Linked DNA regions of Pelodiscus sinensis. The protein of the gene in region 1 binds, or shares a complex with, the protein of each later gene. Links are inferred from orthologs where the notes say so. Each region holds a gene or a part of one and is shown on either strand. Other genes may lie near its edges.

The links.
Region 2: the proteins of PIN1 (region 1) and CPEB1 are in contact, whole or in part, in an NMR structure (PDB 2N1O), measured with the Homo sapiens proteins. The link is inferred for Pelodiscus sinensis from reciprocal best matches to the Homo sapiens genes PIN1 and CPEB1. Residues at the interface, in NP_006212.1 of Homo sapiens: Arg17, Tyr23, Ser32, Gln33, Trp34, Glu35; in NP_001352172.1 of Homo sapiens: Arg206, Ile207, Ser208, Pro209, Pro210, Leu211, Pro212, Phe213.
Region 3: the proteins of PIN1 (region 1) and SMAD2 are in contact, whole or in part, in an NMR structure (PDB 2LB3), measured with the Homo sapiens proteins. The link is inferred for Pelodiscus sinensis from reciprocal best matches to the Homo sapiens genes PIN1 and SMAD2. Residues at the interface, in NP_006212.1 of Homo sapiens: Glu12, Arg14, Met15, Ser16, Arg17, Ser18, Tyr23, Phe25, Trp34; in NP_001003652.1 of Homo sapiens: Pro218, Glu219, Thr220, Pro221, Pro222, Gly224.

Annotation. Positions count from the first base shown.
Region 1 is NC_134729.1:14,658,515-14,668,987, forward strand, and holds the start of PIN1 (peptidyl-prolyl cis-trans isomerase NIMA-interacting 1), read left to right. Parts: upstream 1-5,555; 5' UTR 5,556-5,656; coding exon 5,657-5,714; intron 5,715-9,516; coding exon 9,517-9,717; intron 9,718-10,473. Other genes in the region: UBL5 (ubiquitin-like protein 5), read left to right, coding at 342-379, 1,417-1,460. UniProt on the Homo sapiens protein: Peptidyl-prolyl cis/trans isomerase (PPIase) that binds to and isomerizes specific phosphorylated Ser/Thr-Pro (pSer/Thr-Pro) motifs.
Region 2 is NC_134724.1:36,952,652-36,962,852, reverse strand, and holds the start of CPEB1 (cytoplasmic polyadenylation element-binding protein 1), read left to right. Parts: upstream 1-5,771; 5' UTR 5,772-5,885; coding exon 5,886-5,900; intron 5,901-6,080; exon of another isoform or gene 6,081-6,213; intron 6,214-10,201.
Region 3 is NC_134716.1:117,159,258-117,170,454, forward strand, and holds the start of SMAD2 (mothers against decapentaplegic homolog 2), read left to right. Parts: upstream 1-6,245; 5' UTR 6,246-6,312; intron 6,313-11,197. UniProt on the Homo sapiens protein: Receptor-regulated SMAD (R-SMAD) that is an intracellular signal transducer and transcriptional modulator activated by TGF-beta (transforming growth factor) and activin type 1 receptor kinases.

The DNA.
Region 1 (10,473 bases):
TCATTCTCTCTGAAGTACCTGCCATTGTTCATTGTCAGAAGACAAGATACTGAGCTAGATGGATCTTTGGTCTGACCTAGTATGGTGGTTCTAACTTCAATATGTGTGAAATTACTATACAAGTCACATTGTAACTGCACGTTGGCAGTGTCATCCTTCTCCCCGCAGAACCTGTGATTGGCATCTGTTAAAGCATTGCCTCTATGATTTTCTATTGTAACTGATAACAGCAAGACTCTGGATACTATCCTAATTATTCCATTACTATTGACTATACTTTCTTTTGTTCTTGTATTACACTTTTATTCTTGACTAACTTTCTTTTTGACACATTTGTGCAGGTACACAATCTTCAAAGACCATGTGTCACTGGGAGACTGTATCCTTGAACATTAGACTTGTGTGTGTAAACTGCAGCTTTTGGGGAAAGCCTTTGTCTAATTAAAATAACGGTTGTGTTCTTTATCTGCCATATGTTTCAGTTTGTCTGGTTATAAATCAGTCTGTCCGTTCAAGAGCTAGGAGCACCAGTTTGGTATATAGCTTCCTCTTATCATAGCTCAAACCAAGGTCAGGGTTTGGTTGTGCCAGGAAATAGGGTTGTGCCAGGGATGGGATTGTCTCTCATAAAACCATACAAAAGAGAGACTGAATTCACCTGCCTGGTGAAGGGGCTGGCTGGAGGTACATGCGTACACAGGCCCAGCCCCTCCCTACCCTGTGTCAAGGACTTTACTAGTCTTGAGCCTCCCATCTTCCAGGCACCCTTTGGTAAGGGGAGGGGGGCTGAAGATCTTCCCCAATTCGTAAGGGAGCATTGTGCACTTTCTCTTGCTGCCTGGGAAGCACAGGAGGCAGAAGAACTTGGTTTTCCAAAGATACCAAAAATTAATAAAGGACCTGAGCAATTCAGGGTAGTTCTTCTAGTCACTTAAAAGATCCACAACCTATGAAGTGGAGCGATGGACATATTATAAATACATAGCTAAACAGAGACACTTCCTAATCTGACGTAGTTGCTTGTTATAAACCAAAGGTCTCATTTGTCTCTTTGGGTACTAGTGACTGATGGTATTGGTAGGCTACCATAAGATAACTGGTGGACCTCTGGGAAAAAGTCCCTTACTAAATTGAGTGGGTAGCCTGTGACATGGGACTCATTTGCTGAGTTATGGTATTGAAGCTTCCAGTATTGCATATGACCCATGTTCCCTTGCATGACACTAGCAATTTATTTTATCAATTTGCGATAGAAACACACAAAGTGGGAAGGAGAATTATGTGAGAATTTGTCTAATGTATCAAAGAATAAACTTGCTGTTGTAATTTATTTTGAATTATTGACCAGGGAGAAACCTAATGTCACCTACCGTTTGAGCATTTCCTGTGGAATTCCCCTTAACTCATTCCTTTCAGATGAAATCCATGATGGCATGAACCTGGAGTTATATTATCAGTAGTCTTGAGTCTAGCTGCAGTTACAAATGGCAGGCATCACTTTTCTACATTTTTTTTCTGCTATAAAACTTGTCTATAAACTTTATTTCATGTAAGGTAAAAATTAGAAGCTCAAGTTGTGCATTCAGTTTTATCAGATATCTTCAGTTTTGATGGCTATAAAAGTGGCTGCAAACTTGTAAGAAGGCTGTTTTATTTTTAAAAAATGTTTGCAATAAAAGTTTCCTGATAACTTTTGTATCCTGCTCCTGGATTTGTCAGAAGAAATCTCTTCTTTAACTGACATAGCAGCCCAAATTAATGCAGCTGTTGGAAAGCAGTGGGCTTTAGACCCCATTTAACTTTCTGGAATCAGAATAATACTGTAGCACTCTCCATCCATCTGCTCAGAGGGACTCTCTTCTAGTTAGAGTAAGCAGCACATTTGCTTCGGGTTTGTATCTGTCATATTCAAGTTAGATTTTTTTTTTAATTTTTAAAAGAAATTTTGCATAGTACTGTGGTTAAGCTATGATCTGGGCAGGAAAATACGACCAACTCTCCCATCACACACTTGTTTCTAAGAGTGAAAGAAGAGCAATTGATTAAAAAAAATGCTTCAACAAGTAATAGGAATAGCAGTAATAGCCTTCCGAATACCTTCATTCTTAACCCATGCAGTCTCCGGTTTCCATGGAAAGTCTGTCTGATACAACTTCTCTCAAAGCTGTTATATTTATTCCCTTGTCACCCTTTTCCAGGCTCCTTTTGCACTAAACCCACCCTGTAACCTGTACTGGGATAAGGAACCTGATACGTTTTCCTGCACAACCTGAACTAATCTCTTGAATTCCTGTCTCATTGTTTGTAGCTGCTCCATCTGCTGGATGGACTTGCATTTTTGTGACATCCTTTCTCAGACACCTGGTGCTTCACTTTCTTCTATTTTGCCTGTAGTGACATCTTGCCTTTTCTACTAACTTTTAGTTATTCATCTCTTTGAGCCTTTTTTATTTGTGCATCAATAAAGTTCCTTCCTGCTTCTCTGTTCTAGAAGCCCTGACAAAATGAAACAAGAGCAATCAGATCACCCAGCAGTTTACAAAACAAAAAACAGAAGCCAAGCTAATCACCAAATGTGTAACCTGTATCCCATGATGCTTTTTATCCTCAACGTAAGACATTTACTAGGACTAGAAATTATGTTTAACATTTGGAAATATGCTTCCTAGTGTATTTTGGGGAAAACATTTACCTGCTAGTAGTAATATGTGATACCACTTCTAACATCAAACTGCAAGATCTCATCTCTAGTTTGTACAACAAGCTATTATTTGAGAGTTAAATGTGATATGAAATTGCACATATAATAGGGAGAGCAAAAAGTCACCTGGATGCAAAACTTCTGATGTGGCCTCACCAATGCGGAATAAAGGGGAATGATCACTTCCCTAGATCTGCTGGCAATGTTCCTACTAATGAACCCAATATGCCATTTGCCTTCTTGGCAACAAGAGTGCGCTGTTGATGCATCTAAGCTTCTTGTCCACTGCAGTCCCCAGGTCCTTTTCTGCAGTATTGCTGCTTAGCCCATCTGTCCCCAGCTGGTATCATTGCATTGGAATTTCTATCTTGAGTGTGGGACTCTACACTTGTCCTTGTTGACTCTTATCAGATTTCTTTTGGCCCAATCCTCCAATTTGTCTGGGCGACTCTGGACTGTCTCCCTGCCTTCTAGCATATCTACCTCTCCCCACCATCTTAGTGTTATCCGTGAACTTGCTGAGGGTGCAATCCATCCCCTCGTCCAGATCATTAATGGCCTTAGGACTATCCCTTGGGGCACTCTGCTTGATACTGGCTGCCAATTAGATGTTGAGCCTAACAATCTAGCCATATTTCTATCCACAATATAGTCCATTCATCCGAGCTGTATTTTTTTAACCTTCTGGCAAGATGAGGCCATATCAAAAGCATTGCTAATGTCAAAGTATATCAGTCCACCACTTTCCTCATATCTGCAGAACCAGTTATCTCATCATAGAAGGCAATTAGTCAGGCTTGGTCTGACAGGAATTCAGATTGACTGTTACAGATCACCTTCCTCTCCCAAGTTTTTCAAAATGGATTCCTTGAGCACCTGCACCATGATTTTCCCAGGGACTGAATTGAGGCTTACCAGTCTGTAGTTCCTTGGATTCTCCTCCGCCTCTTTAAAAGATGGGCACTGCATTTGCCTTTTTTGGTCATCTGGGACTTCCCCCAGTAGCCGTAAGTTTTCAGGGATAATGGCCACTCCCTCAGATGCATTAGATACTGCCCCATAGACTGAGCATATGATTTGTTTTAAATGGTCCTTATCTTGTTCTTTTACTACTGAAGGCTGCCCCTTCCTCCCCATTACTGTACTGCTCAGTGCAGCAGTCTGTGAGCTGACCTTGTCTGTGAGGACCAAGGAAAATAAAGCATTGAGTACTTCAGCTTTTTCTACATCATCTATCACTAAGTTGTCTTCCTCATTCATCAAGGATTCCTACACTTTCTCTGACTCCTTTCGTGCTGCTAACAACCTGTAGAGACATTTTTTCAGGGAAAGATATAGCTAGGTGCCAATTTAGTTTGTAACTGGAAAAACTTAAACAACAAATAGTTTTGCAGCAGTTTAGAGACTAACAAAACATGTAGATGGTGGTATGATAAGAACAGTTTAACCAGTTTTTAAAATGATACGTTAGCGGAAGCTGCTTATAAGAACTTGTAGTTAGTGTTCCTAGTGAAATAGACGGAATGTTGCTGAGTTTCAGGAGGTTGACTGCAAACTGGGCACCAGCAAGATCTCCATTTACAATGAAGTTTTGAGACCAAAATGATTTAACTAATGTCTTGATAGAGATTAATTTTCCTAATATCCCTGTGAACCAGTTACCACAGAAGAGAGAGATGGCCAGTGGAAGAGTCTTAATAGAACCCAGGATTTAAGAATTATTGTTGTGCCATAATTTGTAAACTGCCCCAAGAAGGCTGTACAATTCAGGGAGCTTGGATATTAATCTATGTAGAAGTGCTGGGCTGCTAACTCTTGTGATTCATTACTAATTTCACAATATTTTCTTTAAAGCCCCAGCTGCTGGAGCTCTGTGATTGTGACCCTCAATTGTCAGTAAGGAAAAATATGTCTAGCCCTCCTGCTTGCAGAGTGCAAGACTAAAACAGCAAAACATAAAACTTCAAAAAAATTAAATCTCCTTTTGCAGGTGCTTGACACATGAATACTTAGGATTGGTATTACAGAGGGATTTTGTGAGCATCAACGGAAGTTGGGGAAAGCCCTACACATTTTACAAGGGCAATACGCTCTGTACAATGAGCAGCAGCAGCTGATGATGCAAGGGTAGGCATCAGCTGGCCCTTGAGCTCCGGCAGAGAGAGAGGGGTCAGGGGCTTGCCCTGCTGCAAGTGTGCTGTGGCTCCCACAAGCAGCAGCATATCCCCCCTTCGGCTTTTACTTAGATGGCTCCATGTGCCGCTCTGGCCCAAGTACTGCCCCTACAGCTCCTGTTTGCTGGGAATATGACCACCGGAAGCTGTGGAGGCCATGCCTGCTGAGCAGGAAAAGTGCAGAACCGCCTGCCAGCACCTCCATGTAGGAGCTGGGTCGGGGTGAGGGCTGCTGCTTGAGACAATTGTCACATGGGGCCTACGCCCCCAATCTCTGGGGCCCCACCGCAGGGCTGCACCCCCCAGCCGACTCTCATGCCCAGCCCCACTTCGCCAGCCAGCTTCCCCTCCCTGCTGTGGTTCGGCGGCTAGCGAGTCCCTTGCACAGGGCCCGGGGGCTGCTCCAGGAGCCCCGTGCCAGGGACGGGGGGGGGGGGCATGTCCAGAACCCCCCCCCATTCCTGGGTGTGGCGGACACGCGGCCAGGGAGGCCCCACGGCAGCGGGCCGGGACATGCTGGTCTCAGGTCTCCCTTGTCCCGCCTCGGCTTCCGTCCCCTCCCTCCAGATTCACTTCCGGGATCATTGCGGCCTTTCGCCCGTAGCCAATCACGGATCTTCTGCGCCAATGAGACCGGGGCCAGGGCGGGGCCGGGACCGCCTCTCTCTCTCTCAGCCAATGGCAGCCGGCGGGGGCGGGGTCTCGGCCTTCCCCGCGCCAATGGGGCGCCCTGGCGCCAGGCAGGCGGGGCGCGGCCGGGCGGGCTCGCGGCGCAGGGAAGATGGCGGAGGAGGAGAAGCTGCCCTCGGGCTGGGAGAAGCGCATGAGCCGCAGCTCCGGTACGGGGGGGCGTGAGGGGCGGGCGGGGGCAGGCCAGGTCAGCTATGGGAGTGGGGGGGGCCGCGGCCGGGGGGGGTGAAGGGTCTGAGGGGGGGCAGGGCTCTGGGGGCGGGGCCGGGGGGCTGAAGGGTCTGAGGGGGGGCAGGGCTCTGGGGGCGGGGCCGGGGGGGTGAAGGGTCTGAGGGGGGGGCAGGGCTCTGGGGGCGGGGCCGGGGGGGGCTGAAGGCTCTGGGGTTGGGGGCGGGGCCGGGGGGGGGTGAAGGGTCTGAGGGAGGGGGCAGGGCTCTGGGGGCGGGGCCGGGGGGGCTGAAGGCTCTGGGGTTGGGGGCGGGGCCGGGGGGGGGTGAAGGGTCTGAGGGAGGGGGCAGGGCTCTGGGGGCGGGGCTGGGGGGGGCTCAGGGCTCTGGGGGCGGGGCTGGGGGGGGCTGAGGGCTCTGGGGGTGGGGGCGGGGCTGGGGGGGCTGAAGGCTCTGGGGGCGGGGGCAGGGCACTGGGGGCGGGGGCGGGGGGGCTGAAGGCTCTGGGGTTGGGGCGGGGGCGGGGGCGGGGGGTGGGGCTGGGGGGGCTGAAGGCTCTGGGGGCGGGGGCAGGGCGGCGGGGGCGGGGGGGCTGAAGGCTCTGGGGTTGGGGGCAGGGCTCTGGGGGTGGGGGTGGGGGGGCTGAAGGCTCTGGGGGTGGGGGCAGGGCTCTGGGGGCGGGGCCGGAGGGGGCTGAAGGCTCTGGGGATGGGGGCAGGGCACTGGGGGTGGGGGCGGGGGGGTTGAAGGCTCTGGGGGTGGGGGCAGGGCTCTGGGGGCGAGGTCGGGGGGCTGAAGGCTCTGGGGGTGGGGGCAGGGCACTGGGGGCGGGGCTGGGGGCGCTGAAGGCTCTGGGGGTGGGGGCAGGGCTCTGGGGGCGGGGCCGGGGGGCTGAAGGCTCTGGGGGTGGGGGCAGGGCACTGGGGGCGGGGCCGGGGGGGCTGAAGGCTCTGGGGTTGGGGGCAGGGCTATGGGGGCGGGGCCAGGGGGGGGGTTGAAGGCTCTGGGGATGGGGGTAGGGCTCTGGGGGCGGGGCTGAGGGGGGCCTGAAGGATCTGGGGGCGGGGCTGGGGGGCTGAAGGCTCTGGGGTTGGGGAAGGCTGTGGGGGTGGACCCGGGGGGGGGGTTGAAGGCTCTGGGGTTGGGGGCAGGACTCTGGGGTGGGAGTTGGGGTGGGGTCTGCGGGGTTGAAGGCTCTGGGGTTCGGGGCGGGGCCTGGGGAATTAAAGGCTCTGGGGTTGGGGGTTGAAGGATTTGGGGGCGGTGCCTGGGAGGTTGAAGGCTTTAGGGCTTGGGGTGAGGCCGGGGGGTTAAAGGCTCTGCGGTTGGGGGCAGGGCTCTGGGGTTGGCGCTGGAACCTGTGGGATTGAAGACTCTGGGATTCGGGGCGGGGCTGGGGGGGTTAAAGGCTCTGGACTCCGGGGCAGGGCTCGGGGGGGGGGGGGGGCGGTTTGAAGGCTCGGGTTGAGGGGTGGGGCTGGGAGTTGAAGGCTTTGGGGTTGGGTGTCATGTCTATGGGGGTGGGGTGAGGTCTGGGGTCTTGAAGGCACTGGGTCTGGGGTGGGGGGGCAGGCTTGTGGGCAGCTGGTGCTGCAGGCACTGGAGGGCAGAGAGTTTGGGCCTGCAGTGAATATAGCTTGGAGGGGTGTGCCTTGGAGATCCACTTCCCCAGCTGGGTGTCTACTGGGCTGTATTTACTTGGTCCCCATGGGTTGGTCTGGGGCAGGTTGTTCTGTTCCATGGAGTTGCTCTGGGGACTCAGATGTTCCCTTGAGAAGGGGATTGGGGAGGGTTCCCTGAATAGAGGCAGAGTGAAAGTGGCTTTATTCATGATGGGGTGGGAGGGAATTTAGTGAGGCAGCCTGGGGTTCTCACCATGTCCTTTGCTTGGGGATAAGCTTTCCCTGTTATATAGGACCTCCTGGCTAGGGTCCATGTTTGTTCACCTTATGGTGGATGGGTAAATCTGGAATGAAGCCCACGGGAGGTGTCTGTGTGGGGAGAGGAAGTGGATGCAGGTCCCAGTGCAGATGGGGGGGGCTGTTCTGATATGGGGTAAGGTCAAGTCTGGCTCAATGCCTTGGTACCCTACACGTTCAGGGTTAGAGGCAAATCATTGCACCTGTCTTCACTTCATTCCTTGTAGTTTTGCCAGGACACTGACTGTTCCAAGGTAGTTATAATTGGACGTTTGATCCTTGTGTCCTTGGGCTGTTGCCTTCTCTGCCATCCTCTATGTCTGAGAGTCAACACTTCTCTTCAGAGCATTTTGCTGGTTTGCTGGTTGAAATCCTTTGGGATAAAAGGGGTTAGAGAGAGGGAGGGAGTCACTCTGTCTGTCTGGTGAGAATTCCTGCAAGTGCAGGAATGAGCTGCTGCCAGCTTGGAGGGAAGGAGCAGAAAGCATCTCTAGGTTACAGTATTAGTTGGCTTGGCTTCACAGTGGTGTGGCCCCCGTCCTCGTGATTGCACGCTTCAGGGGAATTTTGCTGCTTATTTTAAAGAGTGGCTGCTTTTGGTCGAGGTATGTTTTTTTGTTAGCAACAGCAACCACAGACACATCCAGGATCAATGCTCCATTGTTTGTGCAGTGCCCACCACACTATAGTAAGACATGCCGTCTTGCTCAACTTTCTAATTACAAGATCATACAATTGTACGACTGGAAGGGGCATTTAGAATTCATTTAGTCTGGCCCCCTGGACTCCTGGCAGGACTAAGTATGATCTTGACCATCCCTGACTGGTGTTTGTATTACCTGCTCTTTAGAACTTCCAATGAGGTAAATTTCACAGTGTCTCTGTGTAATGTAAACCACCCTGTCAAGGAAGTTTTGCCTAATGGCCAACCTTAACTGTCCTTGCTGCAATTTAAGCCCATTGCTTTCTGTCCTATCCTTAGAGTAAAAGAGAGAATTTTTTTAACTCCATGTTGTGATAATCTTTTATGTACTTGAAAACTGTTATGTCCCCAGATAAACTCAATTTTTTCCCATCTTTCCTCATAGGTCATGTGTTTTAGATCTTTATTTTTATTGCTCTTCTCTGGACTTTCTCCAGTTTGTCTATATCTTTCCTGAAATCCATTAATTATGATGCATTTGAAAGGTGTGAGTCACCAATATTTAGGCTTTTCATCTTTTCTGCTTTACCTTCACATATATGCTGTTGTAAAGTGAAACATAATCATCTTCTTTGCCGAAAGCCCAGCCCTGTTCACCTTCTCTGCAGGGATAATCGAGGCAGTGTTCCTCTCTGTCAATGTACTGTATTGTTTCAGAAGGTGTATTGGTGTTAGGCGATGCTGGAAAGCCTCAGACATGCTTTCTGCTTTCATCAGACTAATTTGTACTTTACAAATATGAACCACCCAGTTCAGCTTTCCTGGGAAGGTTTAGGGACCTGCCTCTGTTAAAATCAGTGTGAGTTTTGACATGGTCTTCAGTGACAACTGGATCAGGTCTGAAGTAACTTGCCAGAGCTGGGTTAGAATGGATGAGCTGTTGTGCTCCCATCACCTTTCTCTTTATTTCTTATTAGGAAAGTTTGTTAAAGATGAGAATCTTAACAGATGGGATTGACAGCTGCAGTGCCGCAGCAACCTCTTATTATGGGATATTGAGTGTTTCCAGTTCCTGCAGTGATTCTGCTTTGAGCTGACATCCACATTTTTTCACTCACAGAAATCAAGAGTCTTGTATATCTGTTGAGATGAGCTAGAAGCCAGTATCACGGGTCTGAAAGGAACTTCTAACATTTAATCCTCTCCTCCCTTTTATTTGCAGGCCGTGTGTACTACTTCAACCACATTACAAATGCAAGCCAGTGGGAGCGCCCCAGCGGTGGTGGGAGGAATGGCCAAGGAGAGCCGGCTAAAGTGCGCTGTTCACACCTCTTGGTGAAGCACAACCAATCCAGAAGACCCTCATCATGGAGGCAGGAAAAGATCACGCGGAGCAAAGATGAGGCACTGGAGCTTATAAATGGCAAGTAAAAGCAAGAGAGAGGTTGATAGTAGTAAAGGGGAAAGTCATGTTAAGGCCTAAACCAAACACCTGAGAGAGAAATGACTTTTTAGTTGCATGAAATCTCTAAGGCAAAGTTGTTGAGCCAAGTGCTCAAACATGGACTTCAGTGTAGCATAGCCACCTGGGGAGTCAATTTTTCTGATTAAATGACTTAAGAACAGGATCCCTCCCTTCCCCATCCCCTCTTTGCATTTTTGTAATGTCATGTCAGAAAGGTGTTTGTATTTTTTGTAAATGTGTATATTATTTTTATATTAAAAATAAAACAATTATTTGAAGCTAAAACTAAACGTTCCTTTAACATCTTCCTTTTCTATGTTTAAGATTTCATTTGACTATTTTCCCAACTGCAGTTACAGTAAATTGTGATGAGTCTGTGCCTAAGAAATGCATGAACATTTGCACAGGCATGTTCAAAGATCCTGTTAAGCTGATTCACAAAACATACATTTCCCAGCACAGTAAGTTGTCCAGTGTGCGGTGGCCTTAAGCGGGTCCAGAAGTGATGGGATCCTAGTCTTTCCTATGCCTGTGGTGCCAAGTCAAGCACGTATTGTCCCTTGTAATGCAGTAGCGTTTAACTGGGATGCTGCTTAGCCAGTGAACTGTGGTCTTGTGGACTGGTGTTGGCTTTTATAGGCAGGATTCTAATCCCACCTTCTCCATTGCCTCTTGCTTTGGGATCAGGTTAGACAGGGCCTGGGTGAAGTGAGT
Region 2 (10,201 bases), on another chromosome or scaffold:
GAGCACAGTGCTGACGGGGGGAGGTTTGCAGGGTGACATATGGTCCCTGTGTTTTGATGGCAGCCGTGCTCATGGTGCCCTGCCTTTCCGGAGCCACTCCATGCTGCTGCTCTGGGGAGCTGCCTCCCCCCAGGGACTCCGGCGGCTGGGCCCGTGCTCGAGTGGCCTCGTTAGCGGGACCCGTGGTGAGACTTCTCCCCGCACTGCTCGTGCCTCCCAGGAGCTGTTGACATGGCAGCCGACAGGCTGTGCCCCCGAAGAGCCTCTGGCTAGTGCCAGGGAAGGCTGGGCTGGCTCCCAGGCCGCGGTGCCTGAGGCACGGACAGCTCCTGGCTACCGTGAAGAGAAACATTCACATCTGCAACCCGCCGTAGGAGAACTAGTCTCGTCCAGGCGACTGCTGGGTCCCTGGGTTTCCCCTGCAGCCTTCCGTGCGGGGAAAGGAGCAGCCCTTCCTGCTCCCCCTCTGCTTCGCCTTGAAATCCCTGGACCCGCTCCGGTTTGCGAGCTGGGAAACCGGCGATTCCAGGCCTAGCGGCTGCAGACCAAGCCAACTGTGACGATGGGCCCTGCCTGCGTTCACCCCCCTACTTCGGAGCATTAGCAAATGCACAAAGGGAGTTAACGTAAATGGGAAACGTAAACAGCCCTAGGTTTGGAGACGGGGGGATTCTCTCCAGGGCCGCTTTGGGACCAAGCGCATCTTTTCCACTCCCCCCTGCCCTCCCCATCACAGTCAGCAGCCTAGTGCCTGCCCACAGGAGCAAGGCAAGTCCCTTTGCAGCTTGGCTGCACTCGCTGGGCCTTGTAATCACTAGGGAGAGGGCTCCGAGGTGGAGATTCCAAGGTCAGAAGGGCCACTGCGAGCTCTTCGACTGACCTCCTGGGTAGCACTGGCCAGAGACCAGCCCTGGAATATTCCCTGTTTGAACTGCAGCAGATCTTACAGACAGACCTCCAGGCCGCGTGTGCGATTTGCCCGTGACGGAGACTCCATCTAACCGGGGATAAATTGTTCCAATGCGGAATGACCCTCGCTGGTAACAATGCACACCCCTGAGGCTTACTTCCAGCCTCCATCTGTCCTGCTCCAACTTCCAGCCTTGGAGCTTGTTAGGCCTTTGCATGGCCAACAAGCCCATTCGTAAACAGCTGTTCCCCACCTGGGTACTTAGAGACTGTGATCAAGTCACCCCATAACTGCCCTTGTGTTAAGCTCAATAGGCTGCGCTGCTGGAGTGGTGGGTGAAGAGCAGGTTTTTCCAACCCCTAATCTTTCTCATGGCTCTTCTTTGGACCCTCTCCAATTATTCAGCCTCCTTGAATCGTGGGCACAGGATTCCAGCTCCTGTCACACCAGGGCCAAACCCAAAAGTAAAATAACCTCTCCGCCCCAATGCAAATTTCCCATGTATGCCCCCAAGGATCACCCTTTAGGCTGGCAGCTCATGTTGACCTGGAAATCTTTTTCAGAGTCGTTGCTTCCTAGAATAGAATCTCCCAGCTGGTAAGCGTGGGCGCCGACTTATTTTTGTTCCTAGATGGATACCTTTATGATTGTGTCTCTTAAAATGCACATTGTTTGCTTGCCTACCCTTGTGATCCAGCTCTCTGCCCTCTGTGTTATCGACCAGGCCCGGACAGCAAATGGTATTAGGGATGATTTAATCATAGAATCACGGAACACTAGAACTGGAAGGGACCTTGAGAGGTCATCGAGTCCAGTCCCCTGCCCTCATGGCAGGACCCAGCACTGTCTAGACCACCCCTGACAGGTGTCTGTCTAAGCTGCTCTTAAATATCTCCAGCAATGGAGATTCCAGAACTTCCCCTGGGCAATTTATTCCAGTGTTTGACCACCCTGACAGGTAGGAAGTTTTTCCTAATGTCCAGTCTAAACCTCCCTGGCTGCAGTTTAAGCCCATTGCTTCTTGTCCTGTCCTCAGAGGCCAAGGAGAACAATTTGTCTCCCTCTTCCTTGAGACACCCTTTTAGATACTTGAAAACCACTATCATGTCTCCTCTCAGTCTTCTCCTTTCCAAACTAAACAAGCCCGATTCTTTCAATCTTTAGTCTTTCCTTCATAGCTCATGTTCTCTAAACCTTTCATCATTCTTGCTGAAACAAAATACAGGACGATATAGCACTTTAAAGACTAACAAGATGGTTTATTAGATGATGAGCTTTCGTGGGCCAGACCCACTTCCTCAGATCAAATTGTGGAAGAAAACTGGCACAACCATATATACCAAAGAGATACAATAAAAAAATGTGACCACATATAAAATTGACAAATCAGATTTTAGAACAGAGGGGGGGTGAGGGAGTCCTGTCTTTTGTTTCAGCAAGACCCGACTAACATGGCTACATCTCTATTACTTTTCATCATTCTTGTTGCTTTTCTCTGGACTTTCTCCTAGGCTATGGCTACACTGGCGCGATCTTGTGCCAGAGATATGCAAATGAGGCTGTGTGGAATATCACCAAGCCTCATTTGCATACCTAATGCGCCACTATTTTTGCAGAAGAGGCTCTTGCACTAGAAGGCTCTGTCTACACTGCCCCTTCTTGTGCAAGAAAAACCCTCTTGCGCAATGCCGCTACATTGATTATTTTCAGGAATAACGGCATTGCGCAAGAGGGTTTTTCTTGTGCAAGAAGGGGCAGTGTAGACAGCTCCTTCTGGCGCAAGAGCCTCTTCTGCAAAAATGGCAGCTCATTAGGTATGCAAATGAGGCTCAGCAATATTCCACGCTTAGCCTCATTTTCATACTTCCAGCGCAACAACCCGCCAGTGTAGACATAGCCCTAATGTTTTCTTCCAGGTCATTAACAAAAGTATTAAATAGTGTAGGGCCAAGAACCAATCCCCACTAGAAACTCCTTTGCTCCATGACGACTCCCTGTGTGTAGTTCCATTATGACACCTGGCCATTAGCCCCATTTTAATCCATGGCTGTGTGCCATGTCCATGCTGTATCATTTTCTAGTTTTAATCATCAAAATGTTGTGCAGTACACAGACAAATGCCTTACCGGAGTCTCATCACAACACGACACCCTTCTCAAATTTGTCATCTCTAAAAAATATCAAGTTAGTTTGACAAGTTCTATGTCCATAAGCCATGTTTATTGGCATTAATCGTATTATCCGCCTTTAATTCTTTGAGTCATGTATTAACTGGTTCATTATCTTCCCCATGAGCAGCCAATATTATCTAGTGTGTCCCATTTACCCTGTTAAATATTGGCACGACATTCCCTTTCTTCCAAAAGCCATGATAAGGGCACGGCTGCTGAGCCAGCTCTTTTAAAACTCTTGGCTGCCTGTTATCCAGATGACCTGATTTAAAATGTCCAGTTTTGGTAGCGGCGGTTTAACATCTCCTGTGTTACTACTCCAGTGGAAAGTGTCAGCATAATCTGGCCTCTGCCATTTGATACTGAGTAGAAATATTATTGATCACTTCTGCCTTGCTGCATTATTATTGATAACTCCCCCTTTCCAGCCAGTAATCTGTGCTAGGAATCCCTTTTGTTCCTGAGAACTTTAAAATCCCCTTTTTATTGCCCTTGCTGGGCACAGATTTCTCCTTTGAGCCAGTCTGTGCCAGTGTGGCATACATTCTGATGAAGCCTTCAGTTCTTGCTTTCCAGCATCTATGTCTCCATTACCTTCTCTCTTCCTCCCCACCCCACACTCCAGCTGATCAGGGTGCAGAGAGCACCTTGAAAACCTGAACCAAGTGAAACTGATGCCTTGAAATCTGCCTAGGGGACAAATCCAGCTCAGAGCTGTGAAGTGCCTTTGGGTCCCTGTGGGCTAGCACCCCTCCCCCCCTAGACACCGAATGTCACCATTGTTGACTACTTCACCAATGGCAAAGGCATGGCAGAAAGGCGAGGAAGGTTGATAACATGAAGATCTGCTTAATCTCCTGTGCATGTCATCTCTGCCACCCTGGGGAAATCAAGGGCAAGAAGCCCAGTGGGATGCGTGGTATCTGCCCAAGACGGGTGTGGGGTCCCGGTGAGGAAGAGCAGAGTGCATGGAGACCAGAGAGCCTGCAGGCAAAACTGTAATTTGAGCATCTGCACAAACTACATGGGCACCATCTCAGGGGCAGAGCTTATTTCAGGGGCAGAGCTTGGAAAGGCACCTCAATTGGCCCGACTGTACCATTCTCCTGACAGACAGGTCTGGCTCATCCTAAGAATGTTTTCCTAAATTGGCTAGCGGCTGTAGCAAAACTAGGAGGACTAGTGTGCCAATGGCCTTTTCAGCCTCATGTTCCACAGCTCTGCACCTGGGCCTATTGAATGCCTGCCTATGCTGTTCTTGATATTGCTACCACCTGCGTTAGCAGCCCGGGGACACTTTAAAGCAGCCACTGTCCTTACAATCGGAATGGCTTGTATCAGGCATCTCCATTTGGCCCAGACAGACACAAATATTTCCATCACACCAGACAAGAATAATCAGTTAATTAACACAGCCAATGCACAAACACACCAGAGCACGGTCTTATAACCTGGGCTCTCTCCTCCTGCAGAGTTATGAAGGCTGTGCCAGATTCTCAGCTGCTGTGAATTAGCATTAGCTCCAGTGATGTCGATTCCAGCTGAGATCCAGATCCTCGGAGTAATTTGATGCACGATTACCCCCAATGGGCTTGTTCAGCTACTTTTGTGCGTCAGGCCAGGGGGAGGGGAGAGAGAGAGAAGTCAATGCTTGCAGAGAGACACAGGCTGGGTTTTGAACACTGAACAGGTCATTTTCCCTGAAACTTAAAAATAGGTCTACAGGACACCCCCCTGTTGGAACACCTACATCGCTCAGCCATGTGAAACCCCCCCTGTCCTGCCAGCCCTGAGCAGCAGTTTTACTGACTCCACCGGTGTAGCAGTGCTACCTGCACATGACGACTGCTGCCACCCACGGTTGCGACTGATTCTGTGGACTGAAGCTCTCCCATTGCACAACAGCAGCTCACTAAAGTGCTACAGACACACATGAAAAAACCAGCCCTGTAGTCACTGAGGGCTGAGTCCGGCTTGGGGGCCTCTGGCCCCTGTCCGCTCAGTGCTGCTAAAGAGAAGAGCAGCTCCCTGCAATGAGGCTGGAGGGCTGTTGTCAAAACGGCCCGTGGCCTGAAAACCACGTGTGGATTTCTAAGGGCAGCATGCACATTGCCAGCAGCCAGTGCCTCGCTCAGCCATGCATCTGGCTGCTCCCATAGCCCAACCCCAGGGGGACTGGATCAGAGAAGGTCATGCTTGGAGACACGTGCCCAGCTCTAACCACTAGACCCCACTCCCCACCTGCAGGGGAGGGGGGACAAGCACAGAGCTGGCCTCCCCCACTCTAACCACTACACCCCCCTCCCGCAGGGGAAGGCAGCAAGCACAGAACCCAGGCCTCATTACTCTAACCACTAGACCCCACTCCCCACCTGCAGGGGGGCCAAGCACAGACCTAGGCTCCCCCCTCACTCTAACCACTAGACCCTCCCCCCTCCCGCAGGGGGAGGCAGCAAGCACAGAACCCAGGCCTCATTACTCTAACCACTAGACCCCACTCCCCACCTGGGGGGGGGGGGGGGGGGGGGGGGGGGGGGGGGGCGCGAGCACCAGCCCCTCGTGCCGGGCCAGGCGCCGCGCAGCAGCCCGAGCACGCGGCGCGCCCTTTAACAGCCTTAGGGAGCGTCTGCAAAGAGCGCGGGGCCGGGAGGGCGCAGCGGGCGCGGCGGGGTGGGCGGGGCGGCCGGCCCCGCCCTTTGGCGACGCCCCCTGGCCCCGGGCGGCGGGCGGCTATAAAAGCCTGCGGGGCGCCGCGCCGCCCGTTGCTGCTGGTGCGAGCCCGACCCGCTGCGCCCACCGGCCCCATGGCCTTCCCCCTGGTGAGTGCGCCGGGCGGGGCGGGGCCGGCGGCACGTGTCGGGCGCTGCGGGACCGCGTGCTGGCCCGGGCGGGGGCGGGGCGCGAGGCGCCTCGTGACGGGGGGGGCGCTGCCGGACCCGCCGCGCGGGGCTCGCGCTCGGCCGCGCGCCTCCCTCCGACCCCCCCCTCGCGCGCGGCCGGCAGGTGCTGGCGGGCGGGGCCGCGGGACGCTCGGCCCCTTTCAGGCGGGTCCCCGCAGCGCCCGCCGGCCGGGCCGCCCCTCACGCGGCTTCGCACGTTCCCGAGCCGCCGGCTCCGCGCCCCGGCCGCCAGGTGAGGGGGGGCCCCGGCGAGCGTCCGGGCTGCTGCCCTGAGGCGGGGGGGGGGCAGCGCGTGTCGGTCCCGCCCTGGCCCCGGGGTGGGCGGGCCCCCCCTTGGCACAGCCCCCCCTTTCCGCTGGGCCCCCGCGCCAGGCCGCTCTGCATGGCCATTGGGGCAGCTGCCCCGGGGCCCCTAAAGCCGCGTTGCGGGGGGGCCTGGCAGCAGCTCCCCGCCCTGGGCCCCTGCACGTCTGGGTCTTGCTGCCTGGCTCCTGGCTGGGAGGCACTAGCTCAGCCTTGCACTGGTGCGCAGGGTCCCGGTGTCCCGCCTGTGCCCGTGCCAGCGATGGCGTGTGGGGCAGATAGAGGCTGCTCATCTTCCCGGCTCTTGTCTCCAGCACGGAGTTTGTGCAGGTGGGCCAAAAGCAGTTGAAGGCTGAGTTGTGATTGGCTGCTTAACTGGCAGTGGGGTAGGGAAGTGGCTAGGTGGCATGAAAATGTCCCCTACTTGTGACCTTCCTTAGGTGCTGCTTCAGTAAACTGCCCATTTCTGATCCCCACGCTACTGATGAGGCATGAAATGCCTAACAACCTTGAGAATTAAATTATCATTTCGTGTCTGGTTTAACCCCCTCGTTGTGATGAATGGGGCTCTTCAGACCTCTGGTGGCTATTGTTGCAGTCTGCCTGAAGAACTGTGCAGATGTTTCTACAGCTGTTATACTTGCTTTTTGATGCTTTGCTTGCAACCATCACATCTAGCCATGCCCAGCAACAGCTAGGGAGCAGCTTCAGTGATGTGCCAGTGTGCTGTACTGCTGCGAACTGAATCCTAACTTGTCGGCGCTCCTCTGCTTTGGTGAATGGTGCTGCAGAGGAACCACAGGTGTCCGTGATCCCCAGCACTTGTACCTATGCTGCACACAGGAACTTGCCAGCCATTTTTCAGCTACCTGATTGCTGCCTAGTTGTCTGTGGTGATGCAATATAGCACTCTAATTATAGCACTGCTTATTTGTATTAGATAAGGTGGATAACTTAAGGCATTAGATGACACTGGGAGTTTTGTCTGAAGTGGCTGTAATGCCATAATGCAGCGTTTAACAATAGCAGAGGGTGTTATCTTTCCCTAGAGAAGAACACTGAGTTAGTAGTGATAGTCCATAATGGGATGGGTCAGATGCCTGCTGCAGCAGCTGGAGAGACTCTCAGACTAGGACAAATAAATGTCTTTTTACATCCCAACTAGCTACCCTCTCTTGGGGAGGTGGATTGCCTGCCCTATGCCAATAGATGGGTTTAGGCTGGCGCAGCTGTAATGCTTTAGGCGCAAACAAGCCCCTGGCTGTGAAGGAATATCTTCCATTTCTGTAGGAAGTACCAGCACTACGGTGCACAGTGCTGTAGCTGTCCTGCTGTCGTGTCTGCTGGGTAGTTAGGGCTGGAAGCGCTGGAGGGGAGCTTCAGAGGCCTCAACTTGACTTGGTTCCAGTGGGTGTCCGCTCTTAGAACTACTTCCTCTTTGCTACCACCGCTGGGGGCTACCCTACCAAATCAGGCCGATATAGCAGTGTTGCACAGGGGTGTCTTTGAAACTGTCGTCCTTGAGATGTGGTCAAGATGACCTGGTGTAGACCTTGCTGGGCTGAAAAGTGTTCTTCTATCAACCAGTTGCTGCCTCTGAGGGAACTTTAAGGCTGTAATAAGCATCTATGCTGCAGTGAAATAGCTACTACCGTGGCATTTCCTGAGCCAGTGGTTCTCAACTGGGGGTATGCAGAGATCTTTCAGGAGGTAGTTTAATAAAGAGAAATGCAAAGTGCTCCACTTAGGAAGGAACAATCAGTTCCATACATACAAGATGGGAAGCGACAGTTTAGGAAGGAGCATGGCGGAAAGGGATCTAGGGGTCATAGTGGACCACAAGTTGAATATGAGTCAACAGTGTGGTGCTGCTGCAAAAAAAGCAAATATGATTCTAGGTTGTATCAACAGGTGTGTTGTAAGCAAAACTCGTGAAGTCATTCTGCTGCTCTATTCTGCACTAGTTAGGCCTCAGCTGGAGTACTGTGTCCAGTTCTGGGCGCCACATTTCAAGAAAGATGTGGAGAAATTGGAAAGGGTACAGAGAAGAGCGACAAGAATGATTAAAGGTCTAGAGAACATGACCTATGAAGCCAGGCTTCATGAACTGGGCTTGTTTAGTTTGGAAAAAAGAAGATTAAGGGGGGACATGATAGCGGTTTTCAAATATCTAAAAGGGTGTCACAAGGAGGAAGGAGAAAATTTGTTCCTCTTGGTTTCTGAGGACAGGACAAGGAGTAATGGGCTTAAAGTGCAGCAAGGGAGGTTTAAATTGGACATTAGGAAAAAATTCCTAACTGTCAGGGTGGTCAAATATTGGAATAAATTGCCAAGGGAGGTGGTGGAATCTCCCTCTCTGGAGATATTTAAGAACAGGTTAGATAGACATCTGTCAGGGATGGTGTAGACAGAGCTTGGTCCTGCCTTGAGGGCGGGGGGCTAGATTCGATGACCTCTCGAGGTCCCTTCCAGTCCTATGATTCTATTAAATGTTTAGCTATATGCCTCATTTTACCTCAGGCTACATAAAAAGCATGGGCAAGGTAAGTGCAAACTTGAATTTCATACAGCCAGTGACTTGTTTATATTGATTTGTATGCTGTGATATTTTTGTCTCGCTTTTAAAAGTAAGCAGCTCTTACGTGAGGTGAGACTTGGGGTATACAAGACAAATCAGACTCCTGAAAGGGGACCAATAATTTGGAAAGGTCAAGACACTGCCCTGAGGTATCCTGGCCATGATCTCTCCTGTGGCTGCTTTCAACTTCAGCTTCTTCCTAGATTTCTCTTAAATTAGTAACATTGGACAAATTTGTTTCCTTTTCCTGATCTGTTCTGCTCCTCATCACAACTTACCAAACCTGTTTCCTTGCATCTGGCTCTCTTTGAAGCCACCTAGCACCTCCTTGCACTTCCTTTCAAAGTGGCCTGTAGTCTAAGGGTTCTTCCTTAGGTATCTTAGATACCTGTATCAAGGAAATCCTAGGTCTCAAAAATCCTGAGGAATGTTAAATGCCAATTATTGTAAGTTTCCATCAAACAAAACATGCAGATTTGTTATGCCCAACTAGCTGTGAGGTTGGATTGAACCTGGCTTAGAGGCGGTCTTCCAGAGCTGCTGTGGATAGGCAGTTCTAGTCTCCCCCAATCAGTAATGGTCAGAGGGGTTCAGCATCTTGCTAGCTGTCTACCGTGGCTTCTTGGCTAACAGACAAGATTGAACTGTGCAATAAGTGCATCCTGATGCTGACAGAAGTCTCTTCTGGCCTATCTCTGCTGTCCTAGGAAATGGCATTGAGCACTTGGTTAGAGCAACTGAAAATGGGTGTCAAATGAAAGAGCAAGTTTGTGCTTGGGTGTGAATGTAGAATTTCAAGCCTGCTCAATCCCATAACAGGTATGGGAATTGTTCATAGAGATCAAGGGTGGAGTCTGGTCTTCATGGAATAATTGAACTTGGTTAGTATTTACTATCCTGCTTAACTAGTAGGGAAGTTCCTTCCACTATCCTGCTCTTCAGCCACTTTTTATTGCAGTCCCTTTTCTCTCTCCACCCTCCTGTGTGCCTCTTTGCCCTCTAGTCTGTTGCTGCCTTGCAGCAATTCCCAGTCCTTGGTCTCCAGGGCTTCTGCCCCACCCTTCTCCATTCTAGCTGCTAAGAGGTGAAAGGGGGAACCACCTAGAGGCCATTCTGTGAAGAGAGGGGTGATCAGGAAACAGAGCACTGTGGACAGGTCTGCCCTTCTGCAGCGCAGCTGTGTCTAGGCAGCATTACCTGAAGACTGCCCTAGGCAGGTGCTTGATCAGCCTCCGGCAGAGGTGGCTGGAGAAGCTCTCCTGTGGACAGAGCACTTGCTGCTCGGGGGGGGGGGGGGGGGCTGTGGCTCAGGGCTGTGGACTTGTCATCCCACCAAGCA
Region 3 (11,197 bases), on another chromosome or scaffold:
TTGGCCAGTTTTTGGCCAGAAACTGGCCAATGGGAACTGCCTGTTTGAATAACAGGCTGCACATGAAGCACCATGCTCCCTTTCCCAGCTCATAGTTATTCACATATGCACATGGCCCTGCAGCCTGTGTGAGGGCAGGGCAGGGCAGGCTTCCTTCCTGCCTGATAAATGTGATGGCCAGGAGTCACCAAGGTAAGTCTCGTGCCAGAGCCTGTCTCTGGCACCCCAGCCTCTCCCTTTTCCAACCCTCTGCCCCCAACTCTTGCCCCCCTACTCCACATACCGAAACCCTCTGCCCTCCTCTTTTATCCATATACGCAAGCTCTCAGTGGTCAGCCCCTTATTTGTCCACTCAGCCACTTCTCTGAATTAAAGTTACTTTAAATCATCTAATGAGTATTGGCTAGTCCAGTGCCCCAGGTCACAACTACCTCCTTCACCCAAACTCCCTCCCAGACCGCACTCTCCCTCCTGTACCCCAATCCCTTATCCCAAGCTCCTCTCTGCACCCAACCTCCATCCCAGACTCCGCACTTTCATTAATATAATCAAAGAGTGTGGCCTTCAACCACTTTCCAAAATTTTGGAGTGGCCCCCAATCAAAAATTATTGCCCACCTCTGGTTTACAGTCAACTACAGTCATGTTCTGCCATGAGGTATTATCTGTCATGTGTTCCGTAAATTATGTACTATTTGATTTTTTTGCCATGAGTATCTATTCTGTTGTGCCTGCTGGAAGTTATAAACACTGCCGGGCCCAGAGCTTTGTCTGCCACTATGAATTCTGTGGTGCTTGCAGTACACTTATAAATATGACTGGGAGTTTTTCAGAGGCTATGAAATTTCTCAAAAGATAAGTTCATTGAGAGGAAAAATTAGTGCACAAAATCAAAGTGCAAACACACATACGATGGCTTTGGCACCTCAGGAAAAAGAGTGGCCTGGTCCCTCTATCAGACTAGGGGAAAACAGGAAGCAGGAGAGGATAGAGTGTAGGTGAGGCCACACTTTGTTGTTCAGGGAGGCTCAGCCCACCATGGCCTGTGTCTGAAGAGAATGTTGCCTATGTCTGAAGTTGTCTGAAGATGCTAGAGGGGTCTGTGATGGACTCCCCCACTCCCATGCTTTATGAACTGGACTCATGGACAGGAATATACATATCTCAAAAGTGTTTTGAGCAAATCATTTTGTGTAACCCATCAATCTTTATGTCACGATCCACTGGTTCTCTTTATCTTACTCTGTTGTATGTATCATTTGTGTGTGTAAAATTAGACACAGGGAGTGGGGAATAATTGGTGAGTTTCAAATGTATGAATGAGAGACATGGAAGGGGTTACCCTTAACTGTTAAACTATCTCTTTTGTCCTTCAGCCTGAGCAGTGGTTGGTAGGGAGGGGCCTCAATCCTTTAACAAAAAGAATAGGAAAGGAGAGGCCTTGGTCTTTTTTGCTGAGCTGCACCTGGAGGAAGGAGCCGGAGACCCCAGGGTGGGGAAGAGAGCCCTGGTTTAGAGTGGCAGCTGGAAAAGAGGTTTTAGGGTGAGTTTAAGTTTGCACTGAGGTTTCAGTGGAGAATTAGCCAAGCGGTTTTGTTTCTTTTGATTTGTAACCTACTTTGCTCTGCCTACTTTCACTTATTACTACTTAAATCCTACTGCTTCAACTTAATAAAACCATTTTTATTTTCTCTCAAACCCAGTATAAGCGATTGTTACCGGGGGGGAGGGGGTCAACCAGTGTGTGCATTCCCCCTTTCATTGCTAAAGGGGGCTGACCTAATTCTTTGGGGTTTGATCCCGTCTGGGGAGTGATATCCCAGGTGGCTGGGCCCTAACCTGGATTCTCCTTGGACCTGAAGTGGTTCAGTGTCTGTACTGCTTCTCGGTGGGGCAGGGACCTCAGCTCGGGGCCTTGGCTGGGGGAGTCCAGCGGAGCTGGCCCAGCAGGACCTGGTGGTGAGGAGCCCCAGAGAGCAGGAAGGCGAGTGGCAGTGGCTGTGTCAGCACCCCAGAAGGCACCCCTGAGGGGTTATCTGTGACTACACCTCATCACAGGATCACTGCCAAGTATGGCATGCAGCTCATTGTAAAAACAGCAGGTGTGCTGGTAGCAACAAACTTGCTCTCCTTCACCTTGTGGTATGCCATGCAAAGTTCTTTTGCTTTCATGCAGCACTGCTGATGAACCCTGTTATTCCCCTTTGCCAGCACCCCTTGTGCAATCTATTTGCACAAGTCTATATTTCTATTGTTCTTCTCTCCACAGTGCCAGAAGACCTAACATTTCTTCCCTGCTTCAGGCAGAACTGCATCTTGTACCACTGCCATTGTTATGGCATTATAGCGATGCTAATACAGTTTCCATCTGGTAGATATACCTTTAACATTTAGAGCAAACTACCTGTGTCACTCAGGGATTTGGAAAATTCACACCACCAGTTGCTATAGTTAAGCTGACCCAATGCAAGTGTAGATGTAACTAGGTCAGTGGAAGAATCCTTTTGTGAATCCATACAATCACGTCACCTTGGTGAAGACCTGCCCTTAGTCTTTGAGAAGGAACATGCCAAATTAACTGCGTCTAAAGCAGGGGTGGGCAAAAGGGCCTCCACAGGCTGGATCCGGTCTGCGGAGGCCCTGCTGCTCCCTCGCCCCCAGGTGAATTAGGGTCTTGGGGTGGGGGAGCACCTGAAGCCTTCTCTGCTCTGTCCCTGCCCTGCAAGCAGCACATGGCGATTCAAAGCGCTGCACGCTGCTCGCAGGGCAGAAGCAGAGCAGAGAAGCCTTTGTGTGCTCCCCCCCCTCCGCCCCCAGGCCTTAATTGGCTTGGGTGCGGGGGGAGAGGGGGTGCATGAAGCCTCCTCCCACCCTGCCAGCAGCATGTGGTGCTTTGAAGCGCTGCACGCTGCTCGCGGTGGAGGGAGGAGGCTTCTTGCGCTCCCTGGCCCCCAGGCCAATCAGGGCCTGGGGAACCGTGTGAAGCTTCCTTTCCCCTGCCCTGGCCCTAACAGGAGCCCACGGCACCTTGCAGGGTGAGAGGAGGCTTACCTGCGCTCCCTTGCCCCCAGGCCCTGATTGGCCTCGGGGTGGGGCAGCATGCCAAGCCTCTTCCAGGACATGGGAGCATAGTGGGAAGGGGGGGCAAAGGGGCTCCCTGACCCCCCAGACCAATTTTGGTCTGGGGGTGGGTAGACCCAGCCCTTCCTGTTTAAGCTCTGCCCCTTCTGGGGGCCCGGGGCTACTTCAAAAATTTTTGAAGTGGCCCCTGGGCAAAAATTATTGCCCACACCTGGGCTGTGTCTAGACTGGCCAGTTTTTCCGAAAAATCAGCCGCTTTTCCGGAAAAACTTGCCAGCTGTCTACACTGGCCGCTTGAATTTCCGCAAAAGCACTGACTTCCTACTGTAAGAAATCAGTGTTTTCTGCGGAAATACTATGCTACTCCCGTTCGGGCAAAAGTCCCTTTTGCGCAAAACTTTTGCACAAAAGGGCCAGTGTAGACAGCTGAGATTTGTTTTGTGCAAAAAAGCCCCAATCATGAAAATGGCGATCGGGGCTTTTTTGCGCAAAAGCTCATCTAGATTGGCCACGGACGCTTTTCTGCAAAAAAGTGCTTTTGTGGAAAAGTGTCCGTGCCAATCCAGACGCTCTTTTCTAAAAATGCTTTTAACGAAAAACTTTTCCGTTAAAAGCATTTCAGGAAAAGCATGCCAGTCTAGATGTAGCCCTGGTGTAGAGCTTCAGAGGAATAGCCTAGTTAGTCTGTAATTGGAAAAACTTAAAAAACAACAAATAGCCTAGTAGCACCATAAAGACTAATAAACCATAGATGGTATCATGCGCTTTCGTGGGCACAACCCACTTCCTCAGATGAACAACTTCTAGTATGGCTCTGCATGACATTCAAGCAGTTGCATCACGTATAGAAGTTTGTGACACTGACATTGCTTTGTAAAAGAGCTGGTTCTTTACCTCAAATAGTAGAGACTCTTTATATCTCTACATACCAAGTTCATCCTCACATATGACCCATACAGGGATGTTTCTACATTTTAGCTATGCTGTTTGTAATCATTAGATCACAATCTGCTCCCAGTGCCAGGAATGGAAACAGTAACAGCATGCTTTCCTTCCACCCCCAAGTCAGTTCCTCCCAGAGCTGAAATAGCAGACTCTGTGGGGGATCTATAGGTGTGAATTTAAATGCCAAACACATGATTAGAGATTAAATGCCAAACACATCATTAGGGCAAATTTGTTTCCTGTCCAAATATATTTTTGAACTTTCAAGTTTTCCCATTCTGCACTGGGACAAAACTGAAATTTTGATGTATAAAAATATACGTTAGACAGAGAACCCAAAGTATTCACTAGCATAATGGTTATGGCCCTCATCTCATAAAACCAAGGTTGACATCTCTGATTTATGGATTTACCTGAGATATCCAAGATCTGAGTGCAGGTGCCTTAATCTCCTGGCTATTAGCTATTCAGGGGTGGGTCTGTTTCAGTCTCTTCTGTTTGAGCTGTTCCAGTTTGTACAAGCAATTACATATTGAGGATGTAGCCAGAGCAATTGACTTTATAGCCTCATGGTGAGGGTACTCCCATAAGTGTAGGAGAATTAGGTTCCCTCCACTGGTTCAATGAATAGTAGTAGTCACTGTGGATTATCGTACTATGATCTCACTTTGGTTGTTTGATTGGCATGCTGGTATTGGTGGCTTATGCTATACAGGAGCGGGCCTTGACTTTAATATTTAGCTTTTGTAGTTGGTTAATGAGAGCTCTCTTTAAGAGCAGGGTGTACCAGACTTTGAGAGCAGTCTGTGGGAGACTTTGCCTGTTTGTCCAGCGTCAGACCCTCCCTGTGTATGCAAGCTTACAAAAGGTCAAAATTTAAATTAATACATTTATCTTTCAAGACAGAAAGGTTCATTCATGAAGGCATTGCATTTGGGTTTATGGGGGGAGAGACCATACACATTCAGGCATTATTAATTAGTTGTAGAGCCTTTCACCTGTAGCTTCCTAATGTAAATCTTGTCCAACATACATTATATTATTTAATGTAATTTAATCCAGATTCAGAAAGGGGTGCACTCCCTTCTGGATACCAAGAATAGCCACGATTATCCTACTCAGAGGGTTAACCGTGTTAGTCGTTTTTCAAGATTATCATATTTAATGACAAATACAGGGATGTTAAACCTCACGTTGTGGGGGCTGTACCAGTCTTAAATGGAGAGTAGGATGAGGAAGAGGGCAGATTATTGCACTCTGCCAAGAGTGGGAGATTTACACCTCCAGCATCTGGCTGCGTGCAGCAGCAGAGACGAGATGGATCGGGCATTGCAATGCCCGCGCTCCGAGGTGGTCCCTAGCTGAGTGGAGTTGGCTGAATCCTGATTCCCTCTCCTGCAGGGCGCTTGTATGTCCCTGTGGGACCGCCCGTGGGTGATGCATTTGCACGCTCGCCACCTCGCGGGGCGCTGGATGGGACGCTGGAGGGCTGCCTGCGGAGGGGCCATGTAGCTGCCAGCGTGGTGGGCTCCCGGAGCGAGGGCAGGGGCCACGAGGATGGGCACTTGCCACAGGTCTGTGAGGTGCTGTGGCCCTGGTACCACAGGTGTGTGTGGAGGGGGGGGGGGGGGAGATTGTAAAGCAGATGAGAGCCCCCCCCCACTGCACTGAATCTGGGGGGGTGCTTGGGGGAGGCTTTTAACCCGTGCATGGTCCCTCATTTAACCCTTGGCCGGGTCATGCTGCAGGGGGAGGCGTGTGGGATGGGAGGTGGTTGGACTAGTGACGGGGAAGGACGGGACTATTTCTCGCTGCTGGAATCCGCTGCCGCGCGGAAGGCGACTACTTTCTTAAGCGAACTCAGCGGCCGCTTGGCGGAAGGATCGGCGCTCTCCCCCCTGCCTTTTTTTTTTTTTTTTTTTTTTATTCGCTCGCCTTCCTGCGCCACCTCCCCCGGCGGGGAGCGACACAAGTGTCGGCCAATCAGCGAGTGCCGTGGCCCTCGCGCGGATCACGCTCTCCGTCGCGAGGACTCCACCACGGCGTTTCTCGCCGATTGGGTGGCAGGCGCGCCAATCGCTTGGCTGGGCGGGACGTAGCCTTCGTTTAGCCATTCGCCGCCCGCTCTCCTCACAACTGACCCAAGGCAGAGCCAATCAGGGGGGGGCTTGCGGCGTGCGCCGCCTCGCCTTCGTTAACCAATGGCGGGCGGAGTGGGCGGCGGCAAAGAGGAAGCCAGCGAGAGGGAGAGGAGGAGGAGGTGGTAGCGGCGTAGCTAGGCGAAGAGGTTGGTCTCTGGGCGGCTTTGGCATCGGCCGGGCCGGGGTGGCCAGTCCCGGCGGGTGCTGCCTGTGTGTGGGGGGAGGGATACGCGCCGGCCTAGGCAGCGCCCCCCCCCCCTTTGTTGTGGGAGGCGGTGGCTGTGGGGGAGGCTCGCGTGAGGGGGGGCGAGGTTTGGGGCGGAGGCTCAGGCCGGCGGGGAGTGGGGGGTTGGTGCTGGGCCCGAGTCTCTCTCGCCTCTTCCCTAGTGGGGGTGAGCGGCCGGGTCAGGGCTGCTCACCCTCCCGGCTTGGTCGGGAGTCTCCCGGAATCAGCACCAGTCTCCCGGGGACGGGGGGGAAAGCGACCCTGGAGGCTGTGATGGGGCGTTCCACGGCAGTGGCGTGACATCCCCTTTTTGGGGGTGCGGGGGGGGGGGTCGCCTGGAATAGCTTCAGTGGGGTTGGCAGTCCTAGGCCGGGCCCTGCTCTCAGGATATAAATAGGAGGGGTGGCTGGGTGGGCCCGTGGCAGCTTCTCTCTGGGGACCGATGGTGTGGGGTTAGAGGTGGGCGTATTACTACTTCGCTGCCCACCCCACCCTCCTTTGGAAAAACTCGATCTTAGACTTTCCCGAAGAGCTTCACACAGATTAAAAGTGGAAAACTACTGCCTGAGAGAGAGCCAGTATTGTCTAAAATTGTGAGCTGAAAATAGGGGGAGGGAAAGTGATTCAGCCTTAACTTCAGTGAGTGTTCCTAGGGGGTTAACCCTCCCTCACCTGTTGGCAGCCAGTGACTGCTCATCCTCTTCATTCTCCTGTAACTGAACTGTATGGATGTAAGCAAGCATCATACCCAGTGGGTGCTATAATTGATGCACTGTAATGACTGCAAATAGCGATTGTTTTAGCAATTTTGCAAAACTTTCACTTGTAGTGCTGTGTGTAGCATATGTGTGAGGAAAAACAGCTGAGTGAATTCATTAGTTCATAGTCTGTAGGACGGTTGTTTGAGATCCAGTTTCAAATGTAGAATACCTTGTTTTCAGTTCATGTTGGCTTGTGAAGCAGGAGAGTACCATGGTTGTAGCTTTTAGAAAAGAGTTTTTAACAGTTAAGAGCTGCTTTTAACTGCAGCCAAATTCTGTTTCTGTTCTGTGGATGACTGGAAACTCTTAAACTCCCCTCAGTGAGTGCTGAGATGTACATATCACTCATGCAATTTATTTCAGATTATAGTAAGCAGTTCCTGAGTATACAAATAATGATGATATATTTTGTATCAAAAAGCTTACAGTAAGATAAGCCAGTTAGATTTTTGCATTTGTTTAGTGTATCTTTAAAATCTTAAACTTCTGCCTTCTTAACAAAATAGGCTGCAGTGAGGACAGCTTGATTATACTGCCAACTGTTTAAAATTGACAGACTGTTAATTGTGGGGTGGTTATAGTAGCAAATTTAGCAAAATGCACGTTTTTTTGCTTTGCATGTGTAAAGTAAAAATGAGAAACTTTCCATCCAATAAGATTCCAGTTTGTAATGATTTGTAGGCTTTCCTTCACATATTTTTGTTTCTCCTCTCAAGTTGTATTTAGCTCTTTAGCTTTTCAGTGTATCTTAACATGTTACTTTCACAAAATTATCTGCCTTTAAGTATCAAGGGAGGTAAAAAAATCAGTTGGAGACATTACTCTGCTTATCTTAAACTGTGAAGCTTGCTATCTTGGTGTTAACTTCATCATGAGGTTACCTCCAGTGGCTCTGCAATTTAAAAATGCAGTGGGGTCAGGGGATAGGCTGCCTGGCTCTTACTGCCTTTTAAAGTTGCAGTGGGGTTTGGTCCTAGTGAGAGCCTGGACTGAGCGGGGCTGCCTTTTCCTGGCTGGCTTCTACTTAATTCGGCAGGCAACCCTGCTTAGTCGCTGCTAGTCCAGGATCTGGGAGTAACCCGCTGCGGATGTCAATGGTTAACTGGTGGACATCACACTTATTGGGCGATGCTTATCAGTTACCAGTTAACCAGTGGCCCAGCAAGGCCAGAGCAGCTCCTGCCTGTCCAGAGCAGCCCGTTTAAGTGATTAACCAGTTAAATGGTATGTTTAACTGATTAAATGCTGTTTTACATCCCTACTTGGAAGTGCAGATCAAAAATGGTGTGCTGAAATTTAAACTGAGTTGTCTTGTCCTCTCTATCAAGAATTAAAGATGTTGTATGTCAAATTTATAGTAGGAATAATCAATTCTAGCAAAGTTTATAAGGTCATAGGGTAATTGAAAAGCTTACATTTGTAAGAGTTCAGTTCTGTCTAAATTGACGTCTTTCTTTTCTTTCTAACTCCAACCTCCCCAACACCCGCTTTGTTGATTTAATTTGCTCATACAAAGAGAATTTCCAAAGTAAAGGCCCTGCTGGATCTTTTTCAATCCTCTTATGTCAGCTCGATCTTTCCAAAGTGCTGAGCACCTGTAGTTACCATTGAATTTAATTGGAGCTTACAAATGTTCAGTATTGCTGAAAGTTTGAGAGATGTAAACTTTTCTCATCTCTTATCAAAAGAAAGGCTTGAACAAACCTTGCAACATGTCTGAAGGGTGATGAGTTTGAGCGCTGTACCAGAGGGAGAAGAGATTTCCAAATTCTTTCTAAAAACAGTGCAGGATAAAACTTGAGTTATTGTACAAATATTTTAGGTTTTCAGATGTATTAACACTGTCTTAATGGGCTGTATATGTAAATTCTCTAATTGAAAGCATCCATTTATAGGACTGAGTTGCTAAGTGAGTTGTAAATTCTGCTTTTCTGATTGGATGTAATGACTTGTCAACTGTGCTTAGAGGCAAACAATACCTAAGCTTACTTTGCCAAAATATTTGTAACTGTTAATTTGTTAAACAGAATTGCTGCAGGTCATGTGATGGGATTAGCGTGTGGTGGTGGGTTTTTTTTTTTCAGTAGTACCAAGAGTACAGACAGTCCTGTGTTCAGTACTCCTTGCTAGAAGAAACTGAGTAAGCATAGGTAGTAATTCTGAAAGTTGAAAAGCGCTGCTTTCTTTGACACATCCCTGGAAAAAGTACCCTACATAAGCTAAGGTTTTATTCCTTTTTGATGTTTTACTATGGTTTATTGATAACTGACAGTAACACTGATTATACTGTGTCCTACAACAGCTGGCAGTTAAGGGATTTTTTTTCTTGCTATCTGAACAGGTTCAGCTTAACCTGGAACATAACACTCTAATGGCTGAAGACTTAAGTTTAGGGTAGTGTGTGTTGGTGGGGAGGACTTTTTCTCTTTTATAAGATAAATCATAAACTTCATTACTTTCTCTGTATCCTGTAACTAGATGTTAGAACGTGTCTTGCATGTTCACTTGATTACTCCTGAAATTTTTCATTGGTTACACTCGAGCATGTAGGCATGACTATGCTTTCACATCTGTAATAGCTGCTTGCGTTTCTAATATATTTAGAATGAAGATATCAAGTGTTACAAGAATTTGGCTCATAGAATGGGTGATAAGGAAAACAAGCTGTCTTGATTTTCAAAGAAACAGTAACAAGACAGGGATGTCTTGAACCCCACATAGAGTGGAGAGTTTAACTCAGGGATGGGCAATAATTTTTGGTGGGGACCACTCCAAGACTTTGGTAAATGGTTAAGGACTGCATTTTTCTGTGGAGAGGGTGTGGCGTATAGGATGGAGGCTGGGTACAGAAGGGCACAGGGAGTAAGGGACAGGGGTGCAGTGGATAGTGTGGGGTCTGAAAGGCTGTTTGGGTGAAGGAGGGGATTGTGACCTGGTGCAGGGTCTGGTAGGGTGCTTGGGTGCAAGAGAGGATTCTGGCCTGGGGGAGGGGTGTAGGATGGGCTACTGCATCTGGGAAGGAGTTGTGACTTGGTGCACAGGGCTTGGATGGTCACCTGGGGGAGGGTGTTGAAGTGTGGGAGGGACAGGGATTGCCAGGGGCAGGCTCTGGCTGGGAGGCACTTAGCTAAGCATCTTCCAACCTGCAGCACCCCCAAGGCATGCCAGGCTCACTGACTGTTGCACCCTCAGGCAGCTTGAAAATACAGGCTGTTCCCCAATCCAGAGTTGAGAGCTACCTGGATAGAAGAGGCTTATGCTGCACCCTCTTCTCTTCCCCTGTTCCCCCCCCCCCCAAGACGCGCCCCCCTCCCCGCGCCTCCAGGCCAATCTCTCATCTCCGATTGGCTGGCTGTTTCCAGCCAATAGGAGCAGAGAGTGGCTGATGTCAGTTTTTTATTGGCTGGCTGTTTCTGGCTAATAGGTGCTGAGGATTGGGCTGGGGGTGAGGAAATCACTGGAAGCTTCCCCCATCCTGCAGAGCAGAGAAACATAGGGACTGCACTTCAAACTGCAGCAGCTATATGCCAGAGGATCCTGGCAGGGTGGTCCTTGGCCCAGATCCAGCCCTTGGGCTGTATTTTGCCCAGCCCTTGCTTAACTTTGACACTTTTTAAGGCTTTAGAGGCATGTACGTATTACATAAGTTTGCAGCATGTCAGGAAGATCAAGATATTAATGAAGAATGTCTTTGAAGAGATATAGTAGGGTTGAGATTGACTTGCCACAGTAGTTTCCTGAGGCACCAATTAGAGCTGCAACCCACAATGTGCCAGGAGATCTGGCACAGGAGTATTTGCTTTGGGTCCTTGGTCAAGTCACTTAAGCCAAAAGTATAGTTGGACCATCTCTTAACAGGAAATGCAGAATGTGCTTTGAGACTTTCACAGGAGTTACAAAAGTCCAATGTTTCTAATAATAAACAAGTTTTTGGGAGGTATAGTTAATGCTCCATTGTATAAGAATTAGGGATGTAATAGTGTATCCAGTTAAATGAATAATACTCCTGCCTACATGTATACTCCCCCTCCCAGATGCTTCTCT